Callithrix jacchus: one gene and its partners. The protein of the gene in region 2 purifies or fractionates together with the protein of the main gene of each other region. This does not show direct contact. Links are inferred from orthologs where the notes say so. Each region holds a gene or a part of one and is shown on either strand. Other genes may lie near its edges.

The links. Proteins that work in one complex are often made in the same cells at the same time.
Region 1: the proteins of RBX1 (region 2) and CUL7 purify together in Homo sapiens (affinity purification with mass spectrometry; 9 studies listed by BioGRID and IntAct, with this or other methods). This does not show direct contact. The link is inferred for Callithrix jacchus from reciprocal best matches to the Homo sapiens genes RBX1 and CUL7.
Region 3: the proteins of RBX1 (region 2) and FBXO42 purify together in Homo sapiens (affinity purification with mass spectrometry; 4 studies listed by BioGRID and IntAct, with this or other methods). This does not show direct contact. The link is inferred for Callithrix jacchus from reciprocal best matches to the Homo sapiens genes RBX1 and FBXO42.

Annotation. Positions count from the first base shown.
Region 1 is NC_133505.1:51,530,174-51,535,666, forward strand, and holds the start of CUL7 (cullin-7), read right to left. Parts: upstream 3,331-5,493; 5' UTR 3,327-3,330; coding exon 3,176-3,326; exon of another isoform or gene 3,087-3,175; intron 2,292-3,086; coding exon 1,614-2,291; intron 1,291-1,613; coding exon 1,139-1,290; intron 997-1,138; coding exon 496-996; intron 1-495. Other genes in the region: MRPL2 (large ribosomal subunit protein uL2m), read right to left, coding at 3,703-3,915, 5,291-5,364. UniProt on the Homo sapiens protein: Core component of the 3M and Cul7-RING(FBXW8) complexes, which mediate the ubiquitination and subsequent proteasomal degradation of target proteins. Core component of the 3M complex, a complex required to regulate microtubule dynamics and genome integrity.
Region 2 is NC_133502.1:191,767,121-191,772,744, reverse strand, and holds the start of RBX1 (E3 ubiquitin-protein ligase RBX1), read right to left. Parts: upstream 3,361-5,624; 5' UTR 3,340-3,360; coding exon 3,262-3,339; intron 826-3,261; coding exon 747-825; intron 1-746. UniProt on the Homo sapiens protein: E3 ubiquitin ligase component of multiple cullin-RING-based E3 ubiquitin-protein ligase (CRLs) complexes which mediate the ubiquitination and subsequent proteasomal degradation of target proteins, including proteins involved in cell cycle progression, signal transduction, transcription and transcription-coupled nucleotide excision repair.
Region 3 is NC_133508.1:53,658,816-53,664,446, reverse strand, and holds the start of FBXO42 (F-box only protein 42), read left to right. Parts: upstream 1-2,301; 5' UTR 2,302-2,514; intron 2,515-5,631. UniProt on the Homo sapiens protein: Substrate-recognition component of some SCF (SKP1-CUL1-F-box protein)-type E3 ubiquitin ligase complex. Specifically recognizes p53/TP53, promoting its ubiquitination and degradation.

The DNA of each region.
Region 1 (5,493 bases), on a different chromosome or scaffold from region 2:
CCCTGACCCTGACCTTTGGAGGAGTCTGGCTATATTTGTTTCTTGCTGGGTGTGAGTCTTCTTGCCGTCACAACCTCCTAAACTAAGATTTTTTTTTTGAGATGAAGTCTTGCACTGTTGCCTGGGCTGGAGTGCAATGGTGTGATCTCAGCTCACTGTAACTACCACCTCGATTCTCTTGCCTCAGCCTCCTGAGTAGCTGAGATCATAGGCGCCCACCACCACGCCCAGATAATTTTTTGTATTTTTAGTAGAAACAGGGTTTCACTATGTTGGCCAGGCTAGTCTCAAACTCCTGACCTCATGATCCGCCCGTCTTGGCCTCCCAAAGTGCTGGGATTACAGGCATGAACCACTGTGACTGGCCCACCATCCCAATCTTACTAAAAGCTTTCTCTTTGGGTGGCCTGCTGGAGCCCCTCCATGGGGAAGTCCCCAGCTCTGCCCCACCCCAAATAGACCCCCAGCAGTGTCCCACCACTGTGTGCCACTCACCTGCACAGGAGGCACGCCGCTGTTGCTCTGCCGGAACTCGCCCTCGTCCCCAGCGCTGATCTCCTCATAATCATCCAGCATCCGTACTCGCATCCCTGGCTGCAGTGTGTCCCGCACATACAAGGCATAGGTATTGCCACTTGCAAACTCAGAACGAGGGCGAAACCGTCTTGATCTCCTGAAGGAGGGCTGAGCCTGGGCGGTGGGGAGCCCTGGGCTCACAGCTGTCAGCTGAGGCTGGAAGATGGAACCAGGGAACCGTGCAGAGCTCCTTGGTTTGTCTGAGGCCTGGTTCCAGCGCATGGCTTGCACCAGCTCTGAGATCAGGGTGCCCATGGCCATACTGAACTCCAGCTCCAGTTGACCCCTCTCCCCACTCAACTCCTCAGGAGCAGAGGTGTTCTGGGTTCCTGCCTCCACAGCACTGTCGTTCAGCTGATCCAGAAGTGAGGTGACATGCAAATACCGCTTCACCAGGGAGAAGAGCACCCTTCCTGGGACCTGTGGGATACAATCTTTGGTCTACATCCATCTTGTCCCATTTTAAGCCCCTCTCTCCACACCATCCTCTGTAGACAGGTGCAAAGACTCAGTCCCTAGATCTGGTTCACAAGCTCCCCCCACCTTACACCCCAAAGGTTACCTGTGGTAGCTGAATGCCCTCGAAAGACATGGGATGTTCAGAGAGCGTGGCCTGTGCAAACAGTGCTAGCAGAGCACAGCGGCTATCAAAATCCAGGTGTTTCTCAATGGCTTCTTGTTGGCTCAGTGACAGAAGGATCTGAGTCCGGGTCCCTGTAACCCACACCCCAATCGGTAACTTCTCCCCAACCTCACCCTTCCTAAAATCTTGGACCGTCTACTCTTTCAATCCAATCCTTTTGCCACCACACAGTGGGAAATCATTGATTTGCTTCAAAAGTTAAAATTTGCTAACTTATATACACACACACAATCTGCAATAGTCTAAATTCTTCCTTTGCATAAAAAGTAACTAATTAACATGAGATTTTTGAAGATAGGGTTTCCTCTTTTGGCAGATACCCCCCGCCCTCACCCCCATTCCCACCTCCTTTTCTTCCAACTCTAAGAGAAGGGCAACAGAATCATTTACGTACTGATGAGATTAGAGGCTCCTGCCACAGTGTCCTGTGAGTCCCTGAGCCGACCCAGCCCTTCTGCTTTCCCTTCCTCCCCACACTGCCCCTCACCAGCATCATGGGAGGACAGGGCTTGTATCATCCGGCCTGCGCTCCAGCGAATCTGATAATCGGGACTACTCAACATGTGCATGAGCAAGTCCAGGACCCTTGGGTCCTTGAACACCCCAGTGAGGGGCTCGATGCTGGCATAGGCGCTGAGCACGTGGACAGTGTGAAGTAGAGGAGCAGGAGGGATGGTGCCCACACACTCCTCCAGCTGCCGAAGGGCTCTCTGAATGAGGGACTTCACATCAGTTTCCATCTCCTCCAGTACAGATTTGTCCAGGGCCCCAACCTCCCCTGCAGACTGGGAGGGCCTGATGACCTGGCCATCCTCGCCCAGCATCTTGTGGCAGTTGGCATATATCTCATCCTTAGACATCCACAGCAGGATATGTTCAGCCTTGCAGTCCACTTGGCCAGCGACCCCGTCCCCATCATCGCCACGCCGCAGGATGAGCCAGCGGATCTGGTACTCAGGATGCCCATCATGGCCCACTCGCTGGCGGATCAGCTCATCAGGATAGGCATGTAAGCCAGGCCCCAGGGGCACCCTGAATTCCCTGTAGCGGAGTTCCCCCACCATCCTGGCACCTGGAGCACACAAGGAAGAGAGAACAGACAAGCTAGAGTAAGGAGAGGTCAGAAAAATCAGACATCCAGGAGTTAGGGAAGCAAATGGCAACAGCTGTCGGGCAGGGTGGGGTAAAGCCAGGCCCAGGAGTTGCATGCTGCACGCTGGATGGGGGCAGGCCTAAGCAGAGAACACGGGGGTTGTGTTGTGAAAGAACACAAAATTTGGGGGCTAAAAGGAAGGTCCCCAAAACCCTGCAGCCTGGAGTGGGTGGGTTTGGAATAGTGGGCAGACAGTGGGGGCAGGGCAGCCTTGGAGTTTACAAGTGAATTCCAAGACTTTGGGACAGGCAGCAACCCTGGGGGCATGTGAAGCCCAGAGGGGTAGATTTATGGGGGGCTGGGAAGGAGATCGCGAGTGTGTGTGTGGAAAAGGGTGCTGTCTCTACGATTGGAACATGGGAGTGTGAGTCGCAGAGTTAAGAGACCCGAGAAATGGTGGTTGAGGGCAAGGCGCGATGGGCTGGAGGCACCTCTGACTGGAGCAACCGGAGCAAGAGGGCTGGTGGGGGCGCTGTGAGACCCAGGGCAGGGTGCACAGGAGAACAGGCAGGGGAGGGGCGCGAGGCTTGGGGGACCGAGGTTGGAGACCCGAGAAGCCTGGAACGCGCGCTATAAGGTGGGGGAGAGGGGCTAACTCCCATAAACTAGAACCCCGAGACACGGTGGGATGCGGGGCCGAGGTCAAGTGAGCGCGAGGATCCACGGGCAAGTGGTCAGGGGAGGAGCAAGGGGCCGCAGCGGGGCTCTGGCCACCTCAGAAGTCCACCGGGGTCCTGACGCGAGGCCTGTCCTTCACAGAGCAAGGGACGCGGCACAGACGCTGACGACGAATTGGGTCCCACCTGGGCCCCGCGAGGGGATCCAGACGGAGAGATCTGAGGGGGTGTGCCTCTGCGGAACAGAACAGCAGCGCCCGCGTGGGTCGGCAGCCACTGGGGCAGGGTGGGGCCTGGTCCCTGCCAGTGACTCCGCCTGCCAAAAGCCACGGCTCATTTCCGCCAGACCCAGCGGAAAGCTAGGGGCCCTGGGAGAGCGCTGGGGCGGAGCTGCGGGTGCCACCTTGGCGACGCAGCACCTCCTTCCCTGCGCCGCCCTTTCCTCTTCCTTTTTGTCCTCCCTCCTGCCGGAAGTGCCCTCCCCGTTTCCCAAAGTCAGAACTGGAAAAGGCCTTGGACGTCACTAATTTCCATCCTCGGGCTCCATTACCTGTAAGGGAACTGGGGTGGGGGCAGACCCACAGTGTCCTGTCTTTATCTTCCGACACTTTTTACTGCTTCTCCCCACATTCTGTCTGTACCATCCCCTCCCCCGCAAAAAACAGTAACAGATAAAAACAGGAGGTGGGGCATTTTATTAGAGTACAGGGATATCAGCTTTGGGCAGCAGCAGAAGGCAGCTTCACATAACTCTTCATGGGGGGTAGTGGCCGAATCTTTCGGCCAGCCCAGCCCCCCTTGCGGTGCCATCGCCCACTGTTAGGCCTCTTGCCCAGCCAACGGTTGCGCCCTGCCTTGCCAATAACCCGTTTGTTATGATCAACGTTGGATACTCGACCTACTGTTGCTATGCACGTTTCCAGCACCTGACAGAGAAAACAGATGGAGAAGAATGTACGATGTGGGGGCAAGATTTGACAATGTTTAGAGCACAACCCTTGGGGGGCGTCTTAGACTCAATGAGAGAAGGGAGAGGAGAAAGAAAAAGCACAAGACGGGTGAAGCTAAGTGAAGGTCCTACAGGAGGAACAAGGTAGTTGAAATCGAAGAGCCGGGTGCACTGACTCACGCCAGTAATCCCAGCACTTTGGAAGGCCGAGGCTGGAGGGTAACTTGAGCCCAGTTTGAGACCAGCCCAGGCACTATAGTGAAACCCCATCTCTACAAAATAAAAACTATTAGCCGGGGCCAGGTGCAGTGGCTCACACCTGTAATCCCAGCACTTTGGGAGGCCTAGGAGGGCAGATCGCTTGAGCCAGGAGTTCAAGACCAGCCTGGCCAACATGGTAAAACCCTATCTCTATAAAAAATATGAAAATTAGCTGGATGTAGTGGCATGTGCCTGTAGTCCCAGCTACTTGGGGGGCTGAGGCAGAAGGACTGCTTGAACCCAGGAGTTTGAGGCTGCAGTGAGCTATGATTGTGCCATCGCACTCAAGCAATAGAAACCCGGTCTCAAAAAAATTAATTAGGGTTGGGCATGGTGGCTCAGCCCTGTAATCCTAGCACTTTGGGAGGCTGAGGTGAGCAGATTAAGGTCAGGAGTTTGAGACCAGCCTGGCCAACACGATGAAACCCCATCTCTACTAAAAATACAAAAATTGGCCAGGCGCGGTGGCTCATGCCTATAATCCCAGCACTTTGAGAGGCCGAGGTGGGTGGATCACCTGAGGTTGGCAATTTGAGACCAGCCTGACCAACATGGTAAAACCTTGTCTCTACTAAATATACAAAATTAGCCAGGTGTGGTGGCCCATGCCTATAATCCCAGCTACTCAGGAGGCTGAGGCAGGAGAATCACTTGAACCTGGGAGGTGGAGGTTTTGGTGAGCCGAGATCATGCTATTGCACTCCAGCCTGGGCAACAAGGGTGAAACTCCATCTCAAAATAAAATAAAATTTAAAAAATTAGCCAGATGTGGTGGTTCATGCATATAGTCCCAGCTACTTGGGAGGTTGAGGCAGGAGAATAGACTGAACCTGGGGGGGTGGAGATTGCAGTGAGCCGAGATCGCTCCACTGCACTCCAGCCTGAGCGACAGAGCAGGACTCTGTCTTGAAAAAACACAAATTAGTTATGATACCAATCTGATAAAGCACACCTGTCATGTGGCAGAAAAGGACGGACTCAGCTCAAGGCAGTTCCTTGCAACATAAACACCTGGGACCTAACCCAGACAGGAAAGTTACATTCCAAAAATTCCTCCTTTGCTGACCCCTCCCACCCATACCCATACACACCTGCATCTGCCTCTTAGAGGGCAGCTGAATAATGGCTGTGCCATTCACCTTCCGCAGTAGCACACCACACGTCCCTGAGGAAAGAAGCCAAGTTGACACCCTCCACAAAACAAGGGTGTCGAGGGTCACAGGGGACATACCACACATGCTGCCCTTGCTTTGCTCTTTAGGAGCAGATACACAAAGAAGGATACATGCTATGT
Region 2 (5,624 bases):
AGGCCGAGGCGGTAGATCAGTTTGTAGTGCAGTGGTGTGATCTCAGTTCACTGTAACCTTCACTTCCCAGGTTCAAGCTATTTTCCTGCTTCAGCCTCTCAAGTAGCTGGGATTACAGACATGCACCATCACGACCAGCTAATTTTTGTATTTTTCGTAGAGACGGGGTTTCACCATTTGGCCAGGCTAGTCTTGAACTCCTGGCCTCAAATAAGCTGCCTGCCTCTGCCTCCTAAAGTGCTGGGTTTACAGGCATGCACCACCATGCCTGGCTAATCTTTGTGTTTTCAATAAAGTTGGGGTTTCACCATGTTGGCCAGTCCGGTCAACTCCTGGCCTCACATGATCTACCCACCTTGGCCTCCCAAAGTGAGCCAATGTGCCTGGCCTCAGACAGAACATTTTAGCTCAAAGTTTATTTTCCTCTGTTCACTATTTCTACCTTCGAGTCTAGGTACAAGAGGGGAGATACCCAGGAAGAGTCAATAGTGCCTGTTGTCCACAATTCATTCTAAATGTGTCCCTGCCATCTTTAGATTGAGTAGATTTATTCTGAGAGCTGGGTATGCTTCCAGGACATCATAAAAAAACTACTCTATTTCCAACACATCAACAGATTAGATACAGAAGACCGAGTGCTCAGCATAGGCTTCTATCTCCTTGTGAAGAAGAAAATTGGTCACATCAAGATAGCCACAATCTCTGTAACCTTCTCAACTTTCTCCCATCCTCCTCCAATTACTTACAAAGATCCATAATGTGGTTCCTGCAGATGGCACAGTTATCAACCACAATATCCCAGGCCCAGAGGGCTACTGCATTCCACTGCAAAGACAAAAAGAGGGAACAATGCATTCTCCTTGTAACACACACTCTTTACGACTTCATGCTGCAGCTGCAGTTACCACCTCTTCGGCCATGGGGAACCACCAAACACAAGTTTCTGGATATTACATTATTCTTATTATATCAAAGGACAACGGTAGACTACACGTATGTTCTCCCATTCTCCAAAAGGCTGCGTATGTCAACACAGAAATTAATGAGTCATCTTTTGTTTCTTATAGTTTAAAATACTTTGGCCAGGAGCACGCCTATAATCCTAGCACTTTGGGAGGCTGAGGCGGGTGGATCACAAGGTCAAGAGATCGAGACCATCCTGGTCAACGAGGTGAAACCCTGTCTCTACTAAAAATACAAAAATTAGCTGGGCACGGTAGTGCGCACCTGATGTCCCAGCTACTCGGGAGGCTGAGGCAGAATTGCTTGAACCCAGAAGGCGGAGGTTGCAGTGAGCCGAGATCGTGCCATTGCACTCCAAGCTGGGTAACAACAGCACAACTCCATCTCAAAATAAAATAAAATAAAACAATTTAGTTAGTGGCCAGGCACAGTGGCTTGTACCTATAATCCTAGCACTTTGGGAGGCCGAGGCGAGGGGATCACCTGAGGTCAGGAATTTGAGACAAGCCTGGCCAACATGGCAAAACCTCATCTCTAGTAAAAATACAAAACTTAGCTGGGCATGGTGGCAGTTGACTATAATCCCAGCTACTCGGCAGGCCGAGGCAGAACTGCTTGAACCTCGGGGGCAGAGGTTGCAATGAGCTGACATTGGTGCCACTTTACTCCAGCCTGGGCAAAAGGGTGACTCTGCCTCAAAAAAATGAAATAAAATAATTGTCAGCCGTATCAATGTAAACAAATTAGGAACAATTTTTAACTGCCCGTTGTAGGCTTAATAAACACAAACTTGAATTACTGTGCAGGTTTTTGTGGCAGTTGCAGAAGAGCTCAAAATCTGAGTGAGTATCTGCTCTTCCAGGAAGCTCCGGAAGCATGAGCAGTGAGGTGAAAGCTAGGGAACAGAATGAACTAAGATGATCATGGGACCATAAAATGGATAATCATGGGATAAGCTGGATAATTAAGTACCCGTGTCAGTACACAGACCAAGGTCATCACTTAAATCTTAGAAGATTACTTTATAACAAATTCTAGAATTCACTAGAATTTTGTTTGATTCTTACCATAAAATAAACAGATGTTCCCAACTTTTATGTCTTGTATTGAGATAATTCCAGTAAGAGTTTAACTAAAAGTGGCATTTCAGTTATTCCACTCTGGCTTCCTCAGTTACGAATACTGCCAAACCTTCATCACTTTCAGACCCCATTCTCAGTGCCTTATAACTTCTTTCCCACTTTTCACATCACAGTTTCAACTTGGAGGAAAAGCCCCTCTTCTATTATTCTTCAATATGGCTGCTGGCTGTAACTGAGCAGCAGTGGCCACAATGAGACACCAAAAAGCACTAGGAGGGGGGATATGTCAGTGTTTAACCAGATGTTCCAGGAATATCTTCCCTATTTCAGAATCTCCATTTTGAACAGCTTTCATGTTAGGTGGGAATCGACACTGTCCCCCAAACTGTGGCAAACCACTAAAAGGCATTTCATATAAAAAGACACGTTCCATTTTTGCTTTTCCACTCTTACCAAGTCATTCACGACTAGTACTCAACCCTCCCTAAATGCCACAGGATTTGGGCTCGGATTTTCTTAACAAATGCCACCATGCTTTTTATTTTTATTTTGGAAGGGGGAGATTCTGGACGTGACAGAGAACCCAGGACTGAGATGGTTATGTGAAAAGACAACAGACGTCTCAGAAGAGCCAAGCACTACACTCCAGACTCTTTAGACGGTGTGAGGCCCAGAGATGGGGTTAATGGAGGCCTCGGTTCGGCGAGCACCAAGTCTGGATTCCTCAAAGTGAGAGGACCCCAAGCTTCAAAAAGGGGCGGGGCAAGATCACCAGCGGGGTCCCTCAGAGGCCTCCAATGCAGTACGACCTCAGATTGTTCCCAGCTTTCGCCGCACTGCCCCATCCTCCACCGCCGCAGTCACTCCGACTCCCCATTTCACCCACCCTACCCCACCCTGTCCTTCCCCCACCTCGACCACTCCAGTGACAGCTCAAGCGCTTGGCTCCTGCCGCCAAATCGCAACCCCGCGTATCTCAATAAGCAGCTCCGTGATTGGCCCCTCAGCCTCACAGCGAAACCAACACGTCCCTGACAGTGGGCCACCGTCACGCCGATCAACTCTAAGACCCGCCCCCCGGCTTCCTTTCGTGGTACCCGGTCCCAGGAACGCCCTGAAATGAAACCCTTTACTCCGCGCCTCGACCATCCTGGGGCCTGCCAGCCAGATCCGCGCCTCTCTAGCTTCCCTGAGGAAGGTGCTGGCGAGACCCAACCTTTTTCACTTCAAAGCGCTTCTTGCCCGCGCCGCTGTTGGTGCCGCTCGGGGTATCCACATCCATCGCTGCCGCCATTTTGGAAATACAAGATCTGTCGTCCGACCACCGCGCCTGCGCAACTGTGCACGCCTCACTCCCCCGCCTCCCGGCACCTCCTCCCACACCCCACCCCTTATTGGCGCGCGAGAGGCAGGTGGGGGCGGAGCACGTCACCACGCCTCTTAAAGGGGCTGGCGCAGATTGCCCCACCCGCGTCGTGTCGGCCGGTGGGGGCGGTGGCGGGAGTGGCTGGGGCGGGGCCGAGGCTACGTGAGCTAGCCTGGTGGAAATGTTCGAAAGGGTTTGCTCTCGCCGCCTCTTCTGGGAAGCCCCCGACCACACTCCGTCAGCTGGGGCGGCGGCTGTTTCCTCCGCATGAGCACGACCTGCGCCGCAGCCCTACCCGGCTTGTCGGGCTCTCCGGGTCGCCGCGCAGCTCCCAGTGCGGGCTGGGGAAGGCGCGGGGGTGGGTACCCGCCGCCTACCCCAGAACCCGAGAGCCCTCGCTGGTCTTTCGCAGACTCTGACCCGCCTCGTAGCCAGGCCCGAGGTGCAGTCCTCCTGAGAGGGCTGGAGCGCAGGCACCGTCTGGTCTCCGATTTCTGTTTGGGAACTGCTCGGGGATTCGATGGGAAGAAGGGAGACCTCAGAAGGCCCTCCTCAAGGCCAGACTGAGCAGGCCCCCAGCCCTGCCCTCACCCGCCCGCGAAGCCTGGGGGGTGGCCTCTGCGCCCGCCTAGTCGCAGTCCTAGGACCGCCTTTGGTTGGGGTGCCCGGCTTCACTATAGCGTGTCAGTCCCCACTCCCCCTTCCTCAGTTGTCATCTGCGTGGGGTGATTTCTTCCCGGTCCGTGTCCTCTGTCTGCTGCTTGAGCTATAATGAAACCAACCCACTTGAAGTCACTGTATTTCTTGAATTTTGTGAGGCATTCTGATCTTTTTTTTTTTTTAATGGAGACAATGTCTCACTATGTTGCCCTGGCTGGCCTCGAACTCTTGGTCTCAGGCGATCCTCACACTTCGGCCTCCCACAGTGAGTACTCACAGGAGTACGCCACCACGCCCGGCACAAGCACCTGTACTTCGTGTCACTCTCCCATTTCTGCCTAGACCAGGACTCCCTTTGACATCTCTAACCTTGCAGAGGTGTGACTGCCAGATCACTCTTAGAGGCATGGTGGCACATGCCTGTAATCTCAGCACTTTGGGAGGCTGAGGCGGGTGGATGGATCACATGAGGTCAGGAGTTCGAGACCAGCCTGGCCAACATGGCAAAACCCCATCTCTACAAAAAATAGAAAAATTAGCCAGGTGTGGTGGCATGCGCCTGTAGTGCCAGCTACTCAGGAGGCTGAGGCAGGAGAATCGCTTGAACTCGGGAGGCAGAGGTTGCAGTGAGCCGAGGTAGTGCCAGTGCACTCCAGCCTGGTGAGAGAGCGAGACTCCATCTCAAAATAATAATAATAATAACAGTGAAAGAATTGCGATTTGTTTCCCTTTTAGTCATAAACAGGAACAGCAGATCCTGGAAAACACCACCACAGCTTTAACCAGACTTGAAAAATTGTTTGAGACCTTAAAGAGCTATAGGAAGCCTACAGAGTTTTTCTTAGCCCAAGTTTTAATGATTTTATGTGAAAATATCTGTCATTAATGTATTGTGTGCCTACAGGTCCTGATGGGAATACCAGAAACACATTGTAAATTAAGGCATTGAAGACATATTTATCCATCATTCAATAAAAGTATTGATATGTGCCAGGTTCTATTTGAAACAGGAGAGCCATAGTAAGAGTCAGATAAACCCCTAGTTAGGGAACAATACACAAGTCAACACATAAATACATCAAGAAGTCTCAGAGCCGGGCAAGCTGGCTCATGCCTCTAATCCCAGCACTTTGGGAGGCCAAGGCAAGCAGATCACCTGATGTCAGGAGTTCCACACCAGCCTGGCCAACATGGTGAAACCTCGTCTCTACTAAAAATACAAAACCAAAAATTAGCCGGGCATGCATGGTGGCGAATGCCTGTAGTCCCAGCTACTTGGAACACTGAGGAAGGGGAATCTCTTGAACCCGGGAGGTGAAGGTTGCCATGAGCTTAGATTGTTCCACTGCACTCTAGCCTAGGTGACAAGAGTGAGCGTTTATCTAAAAAAAAAAAAAAAGTCTCAGCTATTGAGCTACCCTCTAGGTGGGGTGGATCAGGCCTATAATTCCAGCACTTTGGGAGGTCAAGGTGGGCAGGTCACTTGAATACAGCAGTTTGAGACCAGCCTGGCCAACATGGCGAAACTCTGGGTCTACCAAAAATACAAAAAT
Region 3 (5,631 bases), on a different chromosome or scaffold from region 2:
GGTCCACAGAACATACATTTTTTTTAGTATCACATTATACCTATTTTGAAAGTGACCACATAAATGGAAGCAAATCACTCTTCAGCACTTGCACAGCATTTCACAGATTTAAACGAAATATTGGTTGGCTGTTTGTATTTTCTTTCCTTATTCCTTCCTGTCTCCGCTGTTAAGCACAATCATCAGCATAAAAGAGGTTTTTAATACCTATTTCTAGATTGCATTCCAGCCTGGGCAATAGAGCAAGACTCCTGTTCTCTCTCCCCCTTTTCTCTTACTCTTTCTTTCGTTCTTTAAAATAAACAAACAAAAAAATTTCTGATTGGTGATGAGTTGAAAGAGTTATTATCAGTAGGCCTGGTGTGGTGGCACATGCTTTTAATCATAGCACTTTGGGAGGCTGAAAGCAAGTGGATTGCTTGAGCTCAGGAGTTTGAGACCAGTGTAGGCAACATGGTGAAACCCTGTCTCTACAAAAATGAAAAGAATTAGCTGGGCATGGGGGTGCTGCCTGTAGTCCCAGCTACTCAGGAGGCTAAGGTAGGAGGATGGCTTGAGCCTGAAAGGCAGAGGTTTCAATGAACCAATAACTCGTCAGTGCACTCCAGCCTGGGCAACAAAGCCAGACCCTGTCTCAAAAAAAAAAAAAAGTTATCAATAGAAATGAATGTCAGGGTTATTATAAGGGGTTGTGGACAACAAAGTTTTTTTTGTTGTTGTTATTTATTTTTTTTTTTTTTGAGATAGAGTTTCGCTCTTGTTACCCAGGCTGGAATGCAATGGTGCAATCTCGGCTCACTGCAACCTCCGTCTCCTGGGTTCAGGCAATTCTCCTGCCTCAGCCTCCTGAGTAGCTGGGATTACTGGCACACGCCACCATGCCCAGCTAATTTTTTCTATTTTTAGTAGAGACGGGGTTCCACCATGTTGACCAGGATGGTCTCGATCTCTTGACCTCGTGATCCACCCGCCTCGGCCTCCCAAAGTGCTGGGAGCCACCGCGCCGGGCCTCTTGTTTGTTTTTCTGAGACAGTCTTGCTCTGTCGCCTAGGCTGAAGTAGAGAGGCACATTCTTGCTCACTGCAACCTCCGCCTCCTGGGTTCAAGCGATTCACCTGCCTCAGCCTCCCGAGTAGCTGGGACTACAGGCGCGTACCACCATGCCCAGCTAATTTTTGTATTTTTAGTAGAGATGGGGTTTCACCTTTTTTTTTTGACCAGGATGGTCTTGATCTCTTGACCTCGTGATCTGCTAGCCTTGGCCTCCCAAAGTGCTGTGATTACAGGTGTCAGCCACCTCGCAACCGGCCTGCAATTGTTAATCAGTCTTAAGGTCTGTTGTGTTGATGTTAGTGCTGGAGGGTATAATGAGGCATGTCTGACCCCCACTTCCTGTCATGGCCTGAACCATGTTAAATTTAGACTGCCCTGGTCAATTTACCTCTCTGGCCTGGCCTAGGAGAAAGTCCATTCAGAATGCTTGGTGTGGTGGTAGTGGTGGTGGGGAGGGGCTTAGTTTTTTTTTTTTTTTTTTTTTTTTTGCTTACGGAGTTTAGACTGAAGCCCTTGACTCCATCTGGCATTTCCTTAGACCACATGCTGTATGTAGGGCTAAGCTCGTGAAGGTTCGTTCTCACCTACACACCAGGTTGCTCCCTTGGGAGGGGGCTTTGCTGGAATCTATCCCTTGGTGATAGCCAGTAGGATGTAAAGGAACTTGGGAATCCTACATGCCCGAGTTTAAATCCTATGTTTCCCGCGCCGCCCCACCTCCACTGCTAGGTGTGTGGCTCTGGACAAATAACTGATCGTTTTCCGTGCCTCAGTTTCCTCATCTGAAAAGTGGAGCTAGTAAAACACCTCACACAGTGGTTGCTACAAGGCTACTACGATTAAGGGAGGCTTCTCTTGCACACCTCAGGCGGAGTTTCCCTCCCCGTGGGGATGTCCAGGGGCACTTACATCCGCCACCTCTGTGCTCATCGGGCCCTCGGGGTAGAACTTAGTTAATTCCTGGCTAAAGGTTGGTCTCAAATCACAGGGAAAACCACCCAGGTGCTCCAGACATTTGCAGCGGAGGGTGGGTGCGGCTATGAGGTCGACGCTGGAGACGCGGCGAAGACGGGTGCGGAAGCTTCGCACCCCCGGAAGATTCCATCCTCCACAGAATCTTGGTCTGTAGCCACAGCCCTTCTCAATATGGCGCCGCCCCCTAGCCGCCCCGCGCCGGCCCGCCGCGTTGACGTGAGTGCGCGCGCGTGTGTCCTTCGTGCCCGCCCCTGCGCATGCGCGCTCTGCTCTGTCTTCTCTCGGCTAGAGCAGCAGCTGCGGCGGCGGGGTTTGAGTGGAGGAAGATGGCGGCTCTGGGTGGCTTGGGGTCCCGCCAGCTGTGAAGAGCCCGGAGCACGGCTATCGCGGCCTTAGGCACAGCGCCTCTGCTCTGGCCCTGTCCCTGGCTCCCTCATTACCGTCGCCACCGGAGCGAACCCGAGAGCTTGGAGCGGGCTGGGCCAGGTGAGGCCTCTCCTCCTCCCGGGGCCGCGATGGGGAGCTGGCGCCTCCTGCCCTTTATGCCCGGGGCTGGCAAGGGGCAGCGGGCGCCCCTGGTCTGGCGCAGGTCCCGCATCCCGCGCAGGGGTCGGTCTTGGTTGGGCAGGGCGCCTTGCTATCGCCGTCCTTGAGTGAGGAGGAGAGGAGGAGAGTTCCTTTCCAGCCAGCCCTTGGGTTGGGAGCGAACCCACCCTCTCTCCCCAGCAGGGTGATTCTCGTCCCCTCACCCGGGCAGTGAAGGGATGTGTGGCCCGAGCAAGGATGGCTTTAGGGTGTCAGATAATCTTTCATCGGGCCTCCGAACCTTTTACTTCTTTGCGAGAGAGGAGCCGGGAGTCGGGTGCCCATCAAAATTGGGGCTGCGGCTGGGGGCCAGCATCACTGAAGCTGCAGTTGCAGAGGGATAATTTGGAAATTGGTTTTCGTGAAATAAAATAAGCGGCCTTTCCTAGCCCCTAGCTTGTTGAGTGTTCCCCTAGAGAAATGGAAACTGCGGATCTCCTTGCTTGAGACAGCAATCCATGCTGTGACTGTGGAAGACTTCTCTTGGCGAGAATTGTGTGTGGTAAGGGAACGGTGGAGGGTGGGAACGAATTTGTAAGCGAAGAGAAAGCAATTGTGAGATCTTGATGGTCTCTGCAGGGTAACCTCAGCGCCAGTTGAATTCGTTTGAAACCTTCGGATTGTTAAGATTCAGAATAGCCAATTGCTTTGTCTGTTAAATCTCCCGACTTTTATTAGGAAAATAAAGGCTTCATTTCTTAATTGCCAGAGTCTTTGGATTTTTCTGTGGTGGGATTCTGATGGATCTAGATGAAGATCTGACGCTTTACCAGTTCTCACTTGCCGGCAGCAACATTGTAACTATGCTTGTTCCTTTTGGAGAACAACTTTTGTTGTTGTTTAAATGCTAATTGGGAGACTTTGTGTTTCTCATGTAGGGAAGTCGGTTTTGAAGCCTTGTGGCCTCTTCCTTGAGGAATGATGGCTTCATTGGACTGTGCTGTGGGGAATTGTTGAGGCAATTGCTTTTGCTTGGACACACCAAAATACCTTTTGTAACACATTGGCTTTACTTGTGCTTAAGAATGGTGACGTCATGGATTTAAAGAGAAGGAAAATTTGGAAAGTACCATCATTTACAATTGAACATTTAGAAATAAGTCTATAGCTCTTATGAACATTGGTGTTGCTGTGTTTAATTGCTAACTTTGAGTGTATTCATGTGTGTAATCTGATTGGGTGTCTTTTCTATTGTATGTTATTTTAACTATTTGCTTTTGACATGCCAATATAAATGCATTATTCAATCCACATTGATCCATGGGCATGCTGTATATCTTAAAAAGATTTTCCTTGGTGAAATGACAACTGTTTCGGTTATTATTTGACCATTTCTCTCTCTTTCTCCTTTTTTTTTTTTTTTGAGGCAGTCTCTCACTCTGTCACCCAGACTGGAGTGCAGTGGCATGATTTCGGCTCACTGCAACGTCCATCCCTTGGGTTTAAGCGATTCTCGTGCCTCAGCCTCTTGAGTAGCTGGGATTACAGGCGTGCACCACCACGCCCAGTTAATTAGTTTTTGTAATTTTAGCAGAGACGGGGTTTTACCATGTTGCCCAGGCTGATCTCAAACTCCTGGTCTCAAGCAATACCCCACCTTTGCCAGGCTTGAGCCACCGTGCCCAGCCTCCTTTTCTATTTTTAAATCAGACTTTTCCGTAGAAATTTGTCGATTTTCTTAGTGTCTTTGCTAAAGATGTAAATCTGAACTGTCAGCTTCTCTGTGGTAGAAAATTGGAGAGCTACTTTGCATATCAATTCACTAATAAAGAGTCATGAAATTAATGCAGTAAAACATCCTGGTGGCTCATCATTATGCTTCTTGGCATAATATGTTGCACTGTTATGCTAAATCATCATCACTTATTGATGCAACTGCGTGACATCCATGACATCATTTGCTCTCCAGATTTTGACTTTTGCAATTCCTTACCTTACTCAGTTACAAAAAGAACAGGATCAGAAAAAGGTAGCTTAGGATGCTTGTTCTTGTCTGGTTTCTAGAAGGGTCTTTAATAATTGCTTTATTAAGTTTAAACCCTTCAGATTCAGAACTGGATGAGTCCTACCTATTATCGAGAGCAAGCAAAGAAAATGCTAGCAAAACATGAATTTTATGAGAACACTGAGATCCCAAGGAGAAGCTATCTCAAAGATGAACAAACATGTAATTATCTTTGTGATTTCAGGATTGTTTTAGTCATCGAAGTAACTGTTTATAAAACCAGAAGCCATTTGATTAAATAAAGCCCTTCCCATGATTGTTAATGTGGGTCAAAAAAGACAGTGTTTGTGAAAGTGCTTTGTAAAATGTAAAATAAAAGGTAAATATAAAATTGATTATTCCTATTTATGAGCTACCGAATAAAGGCCCTCTGTTTGGCAGGTGTTTTGGGAAGTAGGTACTAATAACTGTAAGATAAGACAGATAAGACAGCTTTTGGTCTGAAGTTGCAGACAGTATGGCTTGGGAGGTAGACAAGGAAAGCCATTAAGTTCTGTATAGTGTAAGAAGTGCACTGAGGCTGGGCATGGTGGCTCACGTCTATAATCCCAACACTTTGGGAGGCCAAGGTGGGTGGATAACGAGGTCAAGAGATCAAGACCATCCTGGTCAACAAGGTGAAACCCTGTCTCTACTAAAAATACAAAAATTAGCTGGGCATGGTGGTGTGCGCCTGTAATCCCAGCTACTCAGGAGGCTGAGGCAGGAGAATTGCTTGAACCAGGAGGCAGAGGTTGCGGTGAGCCAAGATCGTGCTATTGTAACAACAGAGAAACTCCATCTCAAAAAAAAAGAAGCGCACTGAATCCAACCAAGAGAGCCAAGGAAGGCTTCTTGGAGCAGGGATGGCTTTACCCCAGTGTTTCCTATTATTCTACAGAGTCTGCCTTTAGTGAGTGACTTGCTTTTTATAAAAACTTTAAAAAAAAATTCTGTCATGAGTTATTTTCCCCTTTTATTCATTCACTGTCCTGACACTTCCCACACAATATGCCCCAGTTATGGCTTCTGCA